Linked DNA regions of Arabidopsis thaliana. The protein of the gene in region 1 interacts with the protein of each later gene in a biochemical or structural test. Each region holds a gene or a part of one and is shown in the gene's direction. Other genes may lie near its edges.

Region 1 (5,971 bases):
ATAGAGAGATTTAGAAATTAGGAACTTTTTCGTATAAATATACTCATTGTACTCAGCTACTCACTAGACTCATCTCTGTTTTAGTAATATTTTGAATACTGTATCTCAAATAAATTAATCTTATCAAATAGAAACCATAGTTGAAAAGTCATGAATGATTCTTAACTGTACAAAATAATAAGCTTTGGTAAAACCCTAAACTTTCGTTTCCAAGATGCAATTTCTAGCTTCTCTCGTTTCCAATTCCAGAAAGTTTGGTCGGAGATGGGATCGAGCTCTCTCGTTGCATCATTTCTCTTCGAATGCGACACCAGCTTCGATATCAAATCCAGCGTTCGTCGAGTTTCTCAGGGACAATGGGTTCCAGAAACCTCTAGCAATTGCCATCGCAATGCGTTACCCTAACCTCAAATCCCTAGAACAACCTCGGTCAGTGATTCAAATGCTTAAAAGTTACAGTTTTTCCGATACCCAGATCCAGAAATCGATCCGGGTCCATCCTCGAATGATGTTCTACAACGTGGAGAAAATTCTAGAACCCAAACTTCGATTCTTTAAAGATATTGGATTTACTGGCTCTGGTCTTGGTAAGTTCGTCTCTCAAAACTCATCAGTCGTTGGTGTAAGTCTAGTGAAGAAATTGATTCCTACCGTTGAGATTCTGAAATCGATTGTTGCCCCAAAACATGAAGACCTTCCTGTCATTCTTAGTAGATGTGGTTGGCTTCTTCTCAGTAGAGACCCTAACTTGTTTCTCTTACCAAACATCTCATACCTTGAAACCTGTGGAATTGTTGGGTCTCAGCTTGCTTCTTTACTTAGAAGACAGCCAAGAATCTTCAATCTCTCTGAGGAAAAACTCAGAGGATATGTCTCTCGTGCTTTGGATCTTGGTTTTACTTTGAACTCGAGGATGCTTGTGCACGCTGTTATCTCGTTAAGTTCTTTGAGCGAGAAAACGTTTGATCGAAAGGTTAAGTTGTTTATGGCTAATGGATTCTCTGAAGATGAGATAACAGATATTATACGAAGATCTCCAGGTTTGATCCGGTGCTCAGAAGATAAGCTTACACTGGGGTTTGAGTTTTACTTGAAGAGAATGGGGTTAGAGAGGGAAGCTTTGGCGAAACGTCCTTGTGTGTTGTCGTATAATCTTGAGAAGAGGGTGATTCCTAGGCTTAAAGTTTTGCAGATCTTGAGGGAAAAAGGGTTGTTGTTAAAAGAGGAGAAGAAGAAGAAGAACATGGTTGGCATTGTTGAGATGACTGAGGAAGCTTTTCTAGAGAAATATGTTGTGAGATTTGGAGATGAGATTGCTGAGGAACTGCTGGTTGCTTACAAGTGCGTGTGTTTAGTCGATGAAACGCTACTTGATCGTATCAAGATCTAATTGTAGATTTCACAAGTCCAAACTTGAAATTTTGTCATTGTATCCAAACTTCGCTCATCCGTAACTGTGTTGAACATTATAATTTGGAAGTAACTCTTAAATCACCCTTTATTACGAGCTTGAAGCTTCTCATATAATAATGGGATTCATATGAAGCGATTCTTTTTCTATTTCAGCACTTGAGCAAAAACTCAAGATTGTCAAAGCGTCTTAAAAATTTGACTCATGAATTTAACCGGTTTGATTTTGGTTCGTTGTAATAACCGGTTTAAACCAGAGATTGATTCCGGATAAAAAAGCTTAGGTTTTTCCGCGAAGCCGACACTGTAAGGTAGGGCTAAAACCTTAGAATAGCCGGAGAGAAGAAGGCGAGAAGAGGAGCGACAAGGGCGAAGCTGCAGAATTCTTCGGTAATTTTCAGATTCGGTTGAATAATGGCGGCTGCGGCTTTTGGGCAGTTAAATCTAGAGGAGCCTCCACCGATTTGGGGATCTCGTAGTGTCGATTGCTTCGAGAAGCTTGAACAGATTGGTGAAGGAACTTACGGGTATTCTTCTCCATTCTTTTTTTTTCTGGGTTTTGTTCCTTGATTCCAATTTATTTGGTTTTGTCAGAGTACTCGTGCTCAAGACTGAAATTTCTCAAATTTGAACGATTTCGCTAGGGCCACTTGATATATAAGTTTTTTTGAAACAATTTTGATTGTGAAACGTTTATATATAGTTATTGATCCATATATTGTTGATTTGAGGAATTTTAACTTTGCCTCTTATCTCAATAAATTCGATTTTGTTGATTGAATTTGGGAATTCTCAGATTCTTGGTATGGTAGATATATATATATATATATATATATATATATATATATATATGTTGCAATAAACTTCTGAAGCTGTCTCTTTTGATGGTGTTTAGATTCATATATTAAAATTTGGTTTTGCAGCCAAGTGTACATGGCTAAAGAAATTAAAACTGGTGAAATCGTGGCTCTGAAAAAGATCCGTATGGACAATGAAAGAGAAGGGGTAAGCTACATTTGAACTACCAGTACTAGCTTTGACAAGTTGCAAATTTTTGTGAGTTTCGTATGACTTATATTTCCGTTTTCATTGTTTGCATGGAGTTTCCGATAACCGCTATCCGGGAGATCAAAATTCTGAAGAAGCTGCATCATGAAAATGTCATCCATTTGAAAGAGATTGTTACTTCTCCAGGTAATAAGGAACTCTTATCTTAGCTTGTAATTGCTTTAGAAATTTTGTCAAAAGGGGTGTTAAGTTTGATATGTAGAGTTTTGTGACTGTTTTTGTCTTTAAAAGGTCGAGATAGGGATGATCAAGGAAAGCCAGGTTAGTGAAACTTATTCAAGATCGAAATATTTTCTGTACAACTTAGATGCGACTATGAGAGATCTATTTAAACTGCTTACGGCCTAAAGCTTGTTGCTTTTCTTCAATTTTAGATAATAACAAATACAAGGGTGGAATCTACATGGTCTTTGAGTACATGGATCATGACTTGACTGGACTTGCTGATCGTCCTGGACTGAGATTTACGGTTCCTCAGATAAAGGTATTGCATGGCTAGACACCTTGTTGTAGTAGCCTTTGCAAAAACCCTTATTGTTCCGACTTTGTCTGACATTTGAACATATGTAAAAAAGTGTTACATGAAGCAACTGCTGACTGGGCTTCACTATTGTCATGTGAATCAAGTGCTTCACCGTGATATAAAAGGTGAATATATCCCAAAATACATTGTTGACCATTTTGTTCTCTTGTCTTTATTTGCTAGTTAACCTATAATATATTGGTGCAGGTTCGAATCTACTTATTGACAATGAGGGAAATTTAAAGCTAGCGGATTTTGGGCTTGCTCGGTCATATTCTCATGATCATACTGGAAACCTCACAAATCGTGTCATCACTTTGTGGTATAGGTATGTATGCCTACAAACTTTGAAGTTATATACAAAAAAGTGACAAAGAATAAGTATTGCTTATACGTGCAGCTTTTTCTCTACTTATGCATTGTTTATTGCTGTAGGCCCCCTGAATTGTTACTTGGTGCAACTAAATATGGACCAGCGATTGACATGTGGTCAGTTGGATGCATATTTGCTGAACTTTTGAATGGAAAACCAATCTTGCCTGGGAAAACTGAGGTCAGGATTTCATCTTATGATTATCGTGGTGTGTGTTATTACAGTGTTCTTTGATGATGTTTCCACTTAGCGTTTTAGTCATATTTTTTTCTTTCCAGAATGAACAATTGAATAAGATTTATGAGCTTTGTGGATCACCTGATGAAAGCAACTGGCCTGGAGTTTCCAAGATGCCTTGGTATAACCAAATGAAATCATCTCGGCCCTTAAAGAGACGCGTAAGGGAGATCTACAGACAGTAAGTATAAACCATTATGTAGTTGCGACTCTTTTATGCAACAGTTACTTTGATCCAGGAGATCTCATTTGGTCCTTTTCTCTTCTGCTATAGCTTTGATCGCCATGCCCTTGAACTACTTGAGAAAATGTTGGTACTTGACCCATCTCAGGTACCAAAGAATTTTTAATACAGAGAATTAAGAGCCTTGGTCTAGACATTTAAGTCCTTTCATTTTCCTGTCTGTTGGTACAGAGAATATGCGCAAAGGATGCTCTTGATGCTGAGTACTTTTGGACTGATCCGCTGCCATGTGATCCAAAGAGGTAATCAAATTCTCTTAACTTTCTTGTTATGAAAACCCATTTGGTTCATCATACATCACAAATGACGATCAAGAACAATTAGTGAGTGATTCAGCTTGTACTGAAACTGTGTTATGTCAACAGTCTACCGACATATGAATCATCACATGAGTTCCAGACAAAGAAAAAACGGCAACAGATGCGTCATAATGAGGAAGCAGCCAAAAAACAGAAACTGCAGCATCCACAGCAGCAACATTCTCGTTTACCTCCACAGCAACACGGTGTTGGCCAGTCTCATGCCGCTCCACTTTGGCCTGCTGGACCAAACCACCCTATGAACAACAACGCACCACCACCCCAAATACCTGCTGGTGGCCATTACTATGGAGGAAAGCCCCGTGGTGGTGCACCTGTTCCAAACCGGTACCCTCCTAGCGGAAACCAGACTGGTGGTTATAATAATCAGAGCCGTGGAGGTTACAGCAGCGGAGCATATCCTCCACAAGGTCGTGGTGCACCATATGGCGCCGGTCCTAGAGGACCTAGCGGTGGCTATGGTGTTGGACCACCCAACTACTCACAAGGTGGTGGTCAGTATGGTGGATCTGGTGGCTCTGGAAGAGGTCAGAACCCTATGGGTGGTGCTAGAAACCAACAATATGGATGGCAACCGTAAAGAGAACTCAAAGAGACTCGTATGGTGTGGTCTTGGCTTGATGTCTTTAAGGCAGTTGTGATTTTAGATATGAAGACTTATCTTCGCGAAAGAGAATCTATTTTCATTTGATTTCTTGTCTTAATGGCATTCTTCCAAACATTCTGTGATTGTTGTATGTTTAAATCAAGGTTTATATATCAGAACACAGGAAACCAAATTGGATTTTTACCCAAATCTTATTATTTCTTGCAAAAAAACGTTTCACAACCTCTTATCTGTTTTCGATGAAGTGTGGAAAAACTACACGAATCAGTGTAAACCCCAAAAAGAAAACGAAAAAACTCTCCTCTGAAGCAGCTCCAGCAGTAATTGTGTCATTTCTCATTGCTTATTGTCTTATGCGGATGATTCTACTTTCAGAACAACTTTCATGAACTCGTAAACAAAGTAACTGATTGCCGCGGAAGGCAAAACCTGCAATAGTGAGATAATTCACAAAGCTGTAAAACCTGCAATAAGCTGGTTCAAGAGATTAATTTATGACTAGTATTAAGGAATCAAACCTGCAATAAGCTGGGAATCAAGCCAGCATATAGAGCAGGAACACCTCCTTGTTCAATGATCTTCACACAAGTAGCCACTGCGCTTAACCTTTTAGCATGTGACTGCATTTGTAAACGCCTTCTCACAACTTCAAACGGATATGTTGCTGCTTCTGAGCAAGCCCCTGCGATTGCTCCATATAACAAAGTTCTCATGGGACCAAGCTCGAGTTGATCGAAAGCATTAAGTTCTTCACCTTCTTGCTTCATGTGTTCAAGCCGTTTCTTACCTTCCGGTGTATGAAGGTAAGCTGATTTTAAAATATCATAGACACCGTAGAACACAGCTCCCGATGGAGCCATACTAACAAGTGAAGGTACAAGACCTTTGTATAGGGAAAAGAAACCTTCAGTTTGAATCATGTGACGGAATGCACCAACTACACCACCTAATGCTTCTCCACCGGGTGCCACCATAACCGTTCTTATCTGCAATTCAAAACCAAAGTAATGCTAAAGAACCTCCAGAGAATGGTAAAAGAAGCTCAATGAAGTTTTTGTTGTGATTCCACTTACAGTATCAAGTGGTAGACAAAGCAAACTAGCTGTTACTCCGGCAGCTGCACCAGCAACAAACCTCTCGAAATTTGTCGTTTCTTCATTCCCGGACAATTTCAGAAGCTGACCTCTAT
Region 2 (5,905 bases), on another chromosome or scaffold:
TTAATAAAGAGATTATATGGAAGAAAAAGAAGGGCGCATAGAGAATAATTTGTCTGTTCAATCATACTCTTTTTCTTTTCTCGTTTACACGAAAAACAAAACCCTTTTTTTCTTGCATTGAATTAGTTCATTCTATAAGTCGTTTTGTTCAACTCATGTTATGTGTTTTATTAAAACTGCGTTTCTATGAACTTACGTATAAAGTATCAGCAAGTTTGATTATTAACGCTTGAAAGCTAGTCGAATGTAATAATAAATCGACATTTTGATATCTTACGAATATTAATGCCTCAGGTGACGTATCTCCGTTGTGGGGGTATGATCCTCTGCACCGCGATCAATCATTGCCTCTGCGACGGCATTGGCACATCGCAGTTCCTACATGCATGGGCCCATGCGACCACTAGCCAAGCTCATCTTCCGACCCGACCATTCCACTCCCGTCACGTATTAGATCCGCGAAACCCTCCACGTGTCACACACTCACATCCCGGTTTCACCCGAACCACCACCGTAGACAAAAGCTCCACCTTCGACATTTCCAAGTATTTACAGTCCCAACCATTGGCTCCTGCCACCTTAACCTTCAACCAATCTCATCTCCTACGCTTAAAGAAAACCTGCGCTCCTTCGCTAAAATGCACCACGTTCGAGGCACTAGCGGCTAACACTTGGCGCTCGTGGGCTCAATCTCTAGATTTACCAATGACCATGCTGGTCAAACTCTTATTCTCAGTCAATATGAGAAAACGACTAACTCCAGAACTTCCCCAAGGGTATTACGGTAATGGATTCGTACTAGCTTGCGCCGAGAGCAAGGTACAAGACCTAGTCAATGGTAATATTTACCACGCTGTAAAATCGATACAAGAGGCAAAATCAAGAATTACCGACGAATATGTAAGATCAACGATAGATTTACTGGAGGATAAAACGGTGAAAACGGACGTCTCGTGCAGTTTGGTCATTTCACAATGGGCGAAATTGGGATTAGAGGAGTTGGACTTGGGAGGAGGAAAGCCAATGTATATGGGTCCTTTGACGAGTGATATCTACTGTTTATTTTTACCCGTGGCGAGCGATAATGATGCCATCAGAGTTCAAATGTCCCTGCCGGAGGAAGTTGTGAAGAGACTAGAGTATTGCATGGTTAAGTTTTTAGACGGAAAAGATAACGAAGATGAGAATTCTCGTGCATGCTAAAGTTTCTATATACATTTCAGTGGTCTATAATAAAAGAGTACTTCACTTGTCGATTTTTGATTGGTTTTAATATGTTTTATGTACGAAATATTTTCTTATATATAAGTTTGAAAACAGAAAATAGACATATGAACCCCAATAAAGACTAATTAAAGAGAGTACTAGAGTAGCTCACTTGTCGATTTTTGATTGGTTTTTATTAAACACAAAATGGATAATATGATGAGTTTAAAAACAGTCTTTCTCCATGCTAGTATGATAATGATATTGACTGATCGATGAATTCAAAGGAATACATGTTTTAGTTTAGTTCATCAACTTTAGCTTAACGTACGGTTCTTAAATCGAAGCCAAAATTCAAATAAATATTAATATATATCCAATTTTGGTAATCTCTATCAGATTATAGCTTTATGAAAATAAAAAATTTAACAATGATTCAAATTGCTAAATGCTAATATATTGGTTAAAGTGTTATTTTCTGCAAAAGTTCAAATAATGTTAAGACTATTTCTATGTAGTTTGATCATTTCAATCTCAACCACATAAAAAACGACACTATATATTAATTCGAAGCCCATATCCATTATCGAATATGATGAATTGCTTACAATCATAAAGTCAAAGCCCATATCCATTTTATAAATAGAGTTAGATATTTATCTTTTTTAGGTCGCAACACCGCAATAGATCTTTTCCCCAAGTTTCAGACAAACATAAAGCAGCAGAGAAAATTTTCAAGTTTCAAAGAGCTTTTCCCTCACCAAGCAAAATTTGGGTTAGTGAAATCTCAAATTTTGCTATCCAATTTCGTTAATCCTTCCTTTGTTAGAGTCGATTTCGTTGTCCTCTGATCTCATCTCTTGAATCAATCGGCTCCTCTAATCCTTTACCTCCTTCACGTTTCGTAATTATTCGATCTGTTTTCTGCAGATTTCGTGAATTTAATTTAATCGCCTCCTCGATTTTAATATTTCGTGATTTGATAGAATCTGTTGGAAATTTCTTGATGTTGCGATAATGGGTCAAAAAATATATATGTGAAGCTGAGATCAGATTTGTGTCGTATTATGTCCCAAAGCTATTTAACAATGAATCTGTGTTTGCTATTTGCAGATATTTGTCAGCAAAATCTGCAGCTAAATTGGGACTTGTCTTGTTAGTTCAAAGATTGAAACTTTTTTGGTTAATTGTTTGGCGGAAGAAGATTTACAATGGGAGAGGAGCATCCGAGAAAGCGGTCTAGACAACATTTTGAAGCGGAGGCGAGAAACGTATCGTTGTTTGAATCCCCTCAATGCGAAACCTCCAAGTGGTATTTCAGCAGGGAAGAGATTGAGCGTTTCTCTCCATCCAGAAAAGATGGGATTGATCTTGTGAAGGAGTCGTTTTTACGGTCTTCGTATTGCACCTTCCTGCAAAGACTTGGCATGAAGCTTCATGTGTAAGCTCACCATAGTATTACTTTGTTGTTTTGTCATCTAGGAAGAAATAGTGTTTGTTCTTTGGTTGTTTGCTAGAAAATCTACTTATGACGTCTCCTTGTCTTCTGATATTTCTTGGTACGTTTTTTTAGCTAAAGAGGGTGCCTAATGCATGACAATGGATAGCCTAACTGTTGAATTTTGTCGTAGGGCCACTGTGGGAGGTGGTCTGGAGGTTCTCCAACTATAGATTCTCGATTTTGTCTACATTTATATCTCGTGAATGGAAGAATTATGTAATAATAGTCAGAATTTGGTGTCCATGCATCATATATTGACTCACTTGTCACTTCTCATCGGCAATGGGAGGATTTGCATCTGTTGTGAATTTGCTTGGGAGCTGTTCACCTGTTTAGACATGACCTTCTGATCTATATGTCTTTGTATTTGTAATTCTCTGCTGGGTTATCAAAACCCTCAGCTGTGTTCCTACCTTTACCAACTGATGTTCTTAGTTTTCTGAGCAAGTGCACGTCTCTCTCCGGCCTACTTTTTTGAATCATCTAATCATAGGTACTGGTGTATTTTTGTCTTCTGCATTACTCACGTGTGTCGGAAAAGTTTATAAATGCTGGTTTCGGTGAAAGTGATGTCTAGCTATTAGTTGCTGCCCGAGATATCATAACATTGACCTTGTTCATGTTAAAGGTTTTTGACAATCTCATTGCTTCAGGTCCCAGGTTACAATATCATGTGCAATGGTGATGTGCCACAGGTTTTACATGCGCCAATCTCATGCAAAAAATGACTGGCAGGTAAGAATGCTTTAGTATTCATATGGTTCATCAATTGCGTTCATTGGAGCTGACATGTAAATATTAATGATTGAATAGTCTGCAACAGATATATTGATTCTTCTTACAAAATTTGGGTTATGAGCAATATAATGTTGATGAAAACAAGTCAAAAGTGGTTATTTAATAGTTATTCAGTCTTCCTGGTTAATTAGAAGTGTATATGATTGCTGCTAAATATTTCCACTTCGGTTTCTCACTCGGTGATTTTGCAGACAATAGCGACTTCCAGTCTGTTCCTCGCTTGCAAAGCTGAAGATGAGCCATGTCAACTGTCCAGTGTCGTTGTAGCGTCTTATGAAATAATTTATGAGTGGGATCCTTCTGCCTCAATTAGAATCCATCAAACTGTAAGTGTATACATACATCTATGTATTGGTAAATTCGCACTGTGCATTTTGCTAATTTATTACATGTTGCTCTGCCTGTAGGAGTGTTATCATGAATTTAAAGAAATTATTTTGTCCGGGGAAAGTCTTCTGCTGAGCACAAGTGCTTTCCATTTAGACATTGAACTTCCCTACAAACCTCTGGCTGCGGCTTTGAATAGACTGAACGCTTGGCCTGACCTTGCAACAGCTGCATGGAATTTTGTGCATGACTGGTAAAGACCCTTGTTAATAATATCTGCCCGATTTTTCCCCTACATTGAGTTTGAATCTTATTATGCATTGTGTGTAGGATTCGAACCACACTATGCTTGCAGTACAAACCCCATGTTATTGCAACAGCCACTGTGCACCTAGCTGCTACGTTTCAGAATGCGAAAGTAGGCAGCAGGAGAGATTGGTGGTTGGAGTTTGGAGTTACAACTAAGCTATTAAAAGGTTTGCTGTTCAAACTCTATTTTTTCCTCTGGTATTATTGCAGTCATTTGATCAAGTGAGATGTAGTGTTTCTATAATGTTAGCGCTAGGAATATGTGGTACTGTAGCTCCAGCTCATGTTAGGTTCTTACCCTGTGCACATATTGAGTTTGGAATTAGGTAGTGGCCTGAACGAAGAGATGTGCTGCTATTGATTTTAGCGGTTGATTAAAAATAATTGGATGTTTTCATTATGGTGACAGAGGTAATCCAGGAGATGTGCACACTGATAGAAGTGGACAGAAGGAGGAATATGCCACCTCCACCTCCACCTCCAAGAAGAGAGTTAAGTTGGGCAATACCTGCAGCCGTAAAGCCGGTCCATATGGCTAGAGCTTATCCGTTTCACAGCTACCCTTTGCAGTCCTATAGACAGGCTGGCATCTGGTGAGCCATTGTTGAGCAGCATGAAGATGTAATCTCTCTTAGAGTCTTGAGTTGGTTTAGCAATAAAAGATTTCCGTAGAGACTCATGAGAGAGGCAGTGTAGCATTATATAGAGATCCGAGTGAGGTGCTTCTGTCTAAGTTAAGCGTCTCATGTATGACCAAAGTGGATTCTCTCGAGATTCTTGGTCTCTGTTCTCGATAGAGAGAGATTATGTATAGAAGTGTCCCATTCACATGTTATAATACTAGCTGACTTTATATCGTTTGTATATCTGGAATCTATGTTTTTGGTTTCTTTAAAAAGTTTAAAGTTGTTTTGATTTTGACTAATTCTCTCATTGTTAAGTAATTTGGTTTTTGATGAAGTGCTATTAGGTCTGTGTTGAGTTGAGACTTGAGACGAACACAATCATCATATGATCAAGCTTATACCGATCGGATAAGTAATTAACCGGTTCAATTAACTACACCTAGCTTATACCGATCGTATAAACCGGTCAAGAACCAAAACCGCTTGGTTTCCATTCTAGACCAAACCGGATTCTAGTTTCCATTATTATTATCTTTTTTATCGGATTAAAAATATAAATCCTTATGTCAGGAGATCCCATTCTCTGTCTCTCTGTCTTTCTCCCCCAACTCGCGAACAAAGCAAACCCTAGATCATCCATCGGCGAGTGAGACGGCAGCTCCTCGTCGGTAATTCCTTCCACCGGCGGCGACCACTCACCCTCAGATCTCTCAATCCCACTCATCTCTGTAACATTCTGTACGCTTTCTCTCTCTCTTTCTTCGCTTTTGTGATCTATTACGGCTCGGTCTCTGTGCCTCCCAGCTCTATTTTGGAGCACTGCTTCGTCTCTGTGTTTATTTGGCTCCTTTGTGTGTTTCTCTATCTCTGCTTTTCTTTTGTATTGCTCTGTTTCCGATTTTATATCCATATGTCTCTGGTTATTTGGTTATATCTATGTGTGATTCTTTGTTCTTTTTTCCATTGAATTCAATAGCTGACTAAGATCTCTGCCTTTTATCTTCAATAGTTGCTCAATCTTTTCGCTTTCGTAACATAATTTAGTTTCTTGTTGATGTTTTTGATATCTACCAATCTCTTTTCAATTTATGTCTATATGTTGCTAAATATCTTGTTCAATGACTGATTTCTTAAACTC

What was found.
Region 2: the proteins of CDKC2 (region 1) and CYCT1;3 form a complex in vitro, tested with the Arabidopsis thaliana proteins (one study listed by BioGRID).

Annotation. Positions count from the first base shown.
Region 1 is NC_003076.8:25,953,673-25,959,643, forward strand, and holds CDKC2 (cyclin dependent kinase group C2), read left to right. Parts: upstream 1-1,701; 5' UTR 1,702-1,824; coding exon 1,825-1,937; intron 1,938-2,333; coding exon 2,334-2,415; exon of another isoform or gene 2,416-2,477; coding exon of another isoform or gene 2,478-2,513; coding exon 2,514-2,604; intron 2,605-2,709; coding exon 2,710-2,739; intron 2,740-2,852; coding exon 2,853-2,962; intron 2,963-3,053; coding exon 3,054-3,126; intron 3,127-3,208; coding exon 3,209-3,329; intron 3,330-3,436; coding exon 3,437-3,554; intron 3,555-3,652; coding exon 3,653-3,792; intron 3,793-3,885; coding exon 3,886-3,943; intron 3,944-4,026; coding exon 4,027-4,097; intron 4,098-4,220; coding exon 4,221-4,755; 3' UTR 4,756-5,133; coding exon of another isoform or gene 5,134-5,211; 3' UTR 5,212-5,219; intron 5,220-5,294; downstream 5,295-5,971. Other genes in the region: AT5G64950 (Mitochondrial transcription termination factor family protein), read left to right, coding at 215-1,390; AT5G64970 (Mitochondrial substrate carrier family protein), read right to left, coding at 5,134-5,211, 5,301-5,768, 5,856-5,971.
Region 2 is NC_003070.9:9,609,230-9,615,134, forward strand, and holds CYCT1;3 (cyclin T 1;3), read left to right. Parts: upstream 1-1,823; 5' UTR 1,824-1,981; intron 1,982-2,250; exon of another isoform or gene 2,251-2,319; 5' UTR 2,320-2,417; coding exon 2,418-2,647; exon of another isoform or gene 2,648-3,360; coding exon 3,361-3,442; intron 3,443-3,696; coding exon 3,697-3,831; intron 3,832-3,912; coding exon 3,913-4,085; intron 4,086-4,162; coding exon 4,163-4,308; intron 4,309-4,391; coding exon of another isoform or gene 4,392-4,471; exon of another isoform or gene 4,472-4,550; coding exon 4,551-4,738; 3' UTR 4,739-5,107; downstream 5,108-5,905. Other genes in the region: AT1G27620 (HXXXD-type acyl-transferase family protein), read left to right, coding at 295-1,203; AT1G27640 (uncharacterized protein), read right to left, coding at 5,234-5,677.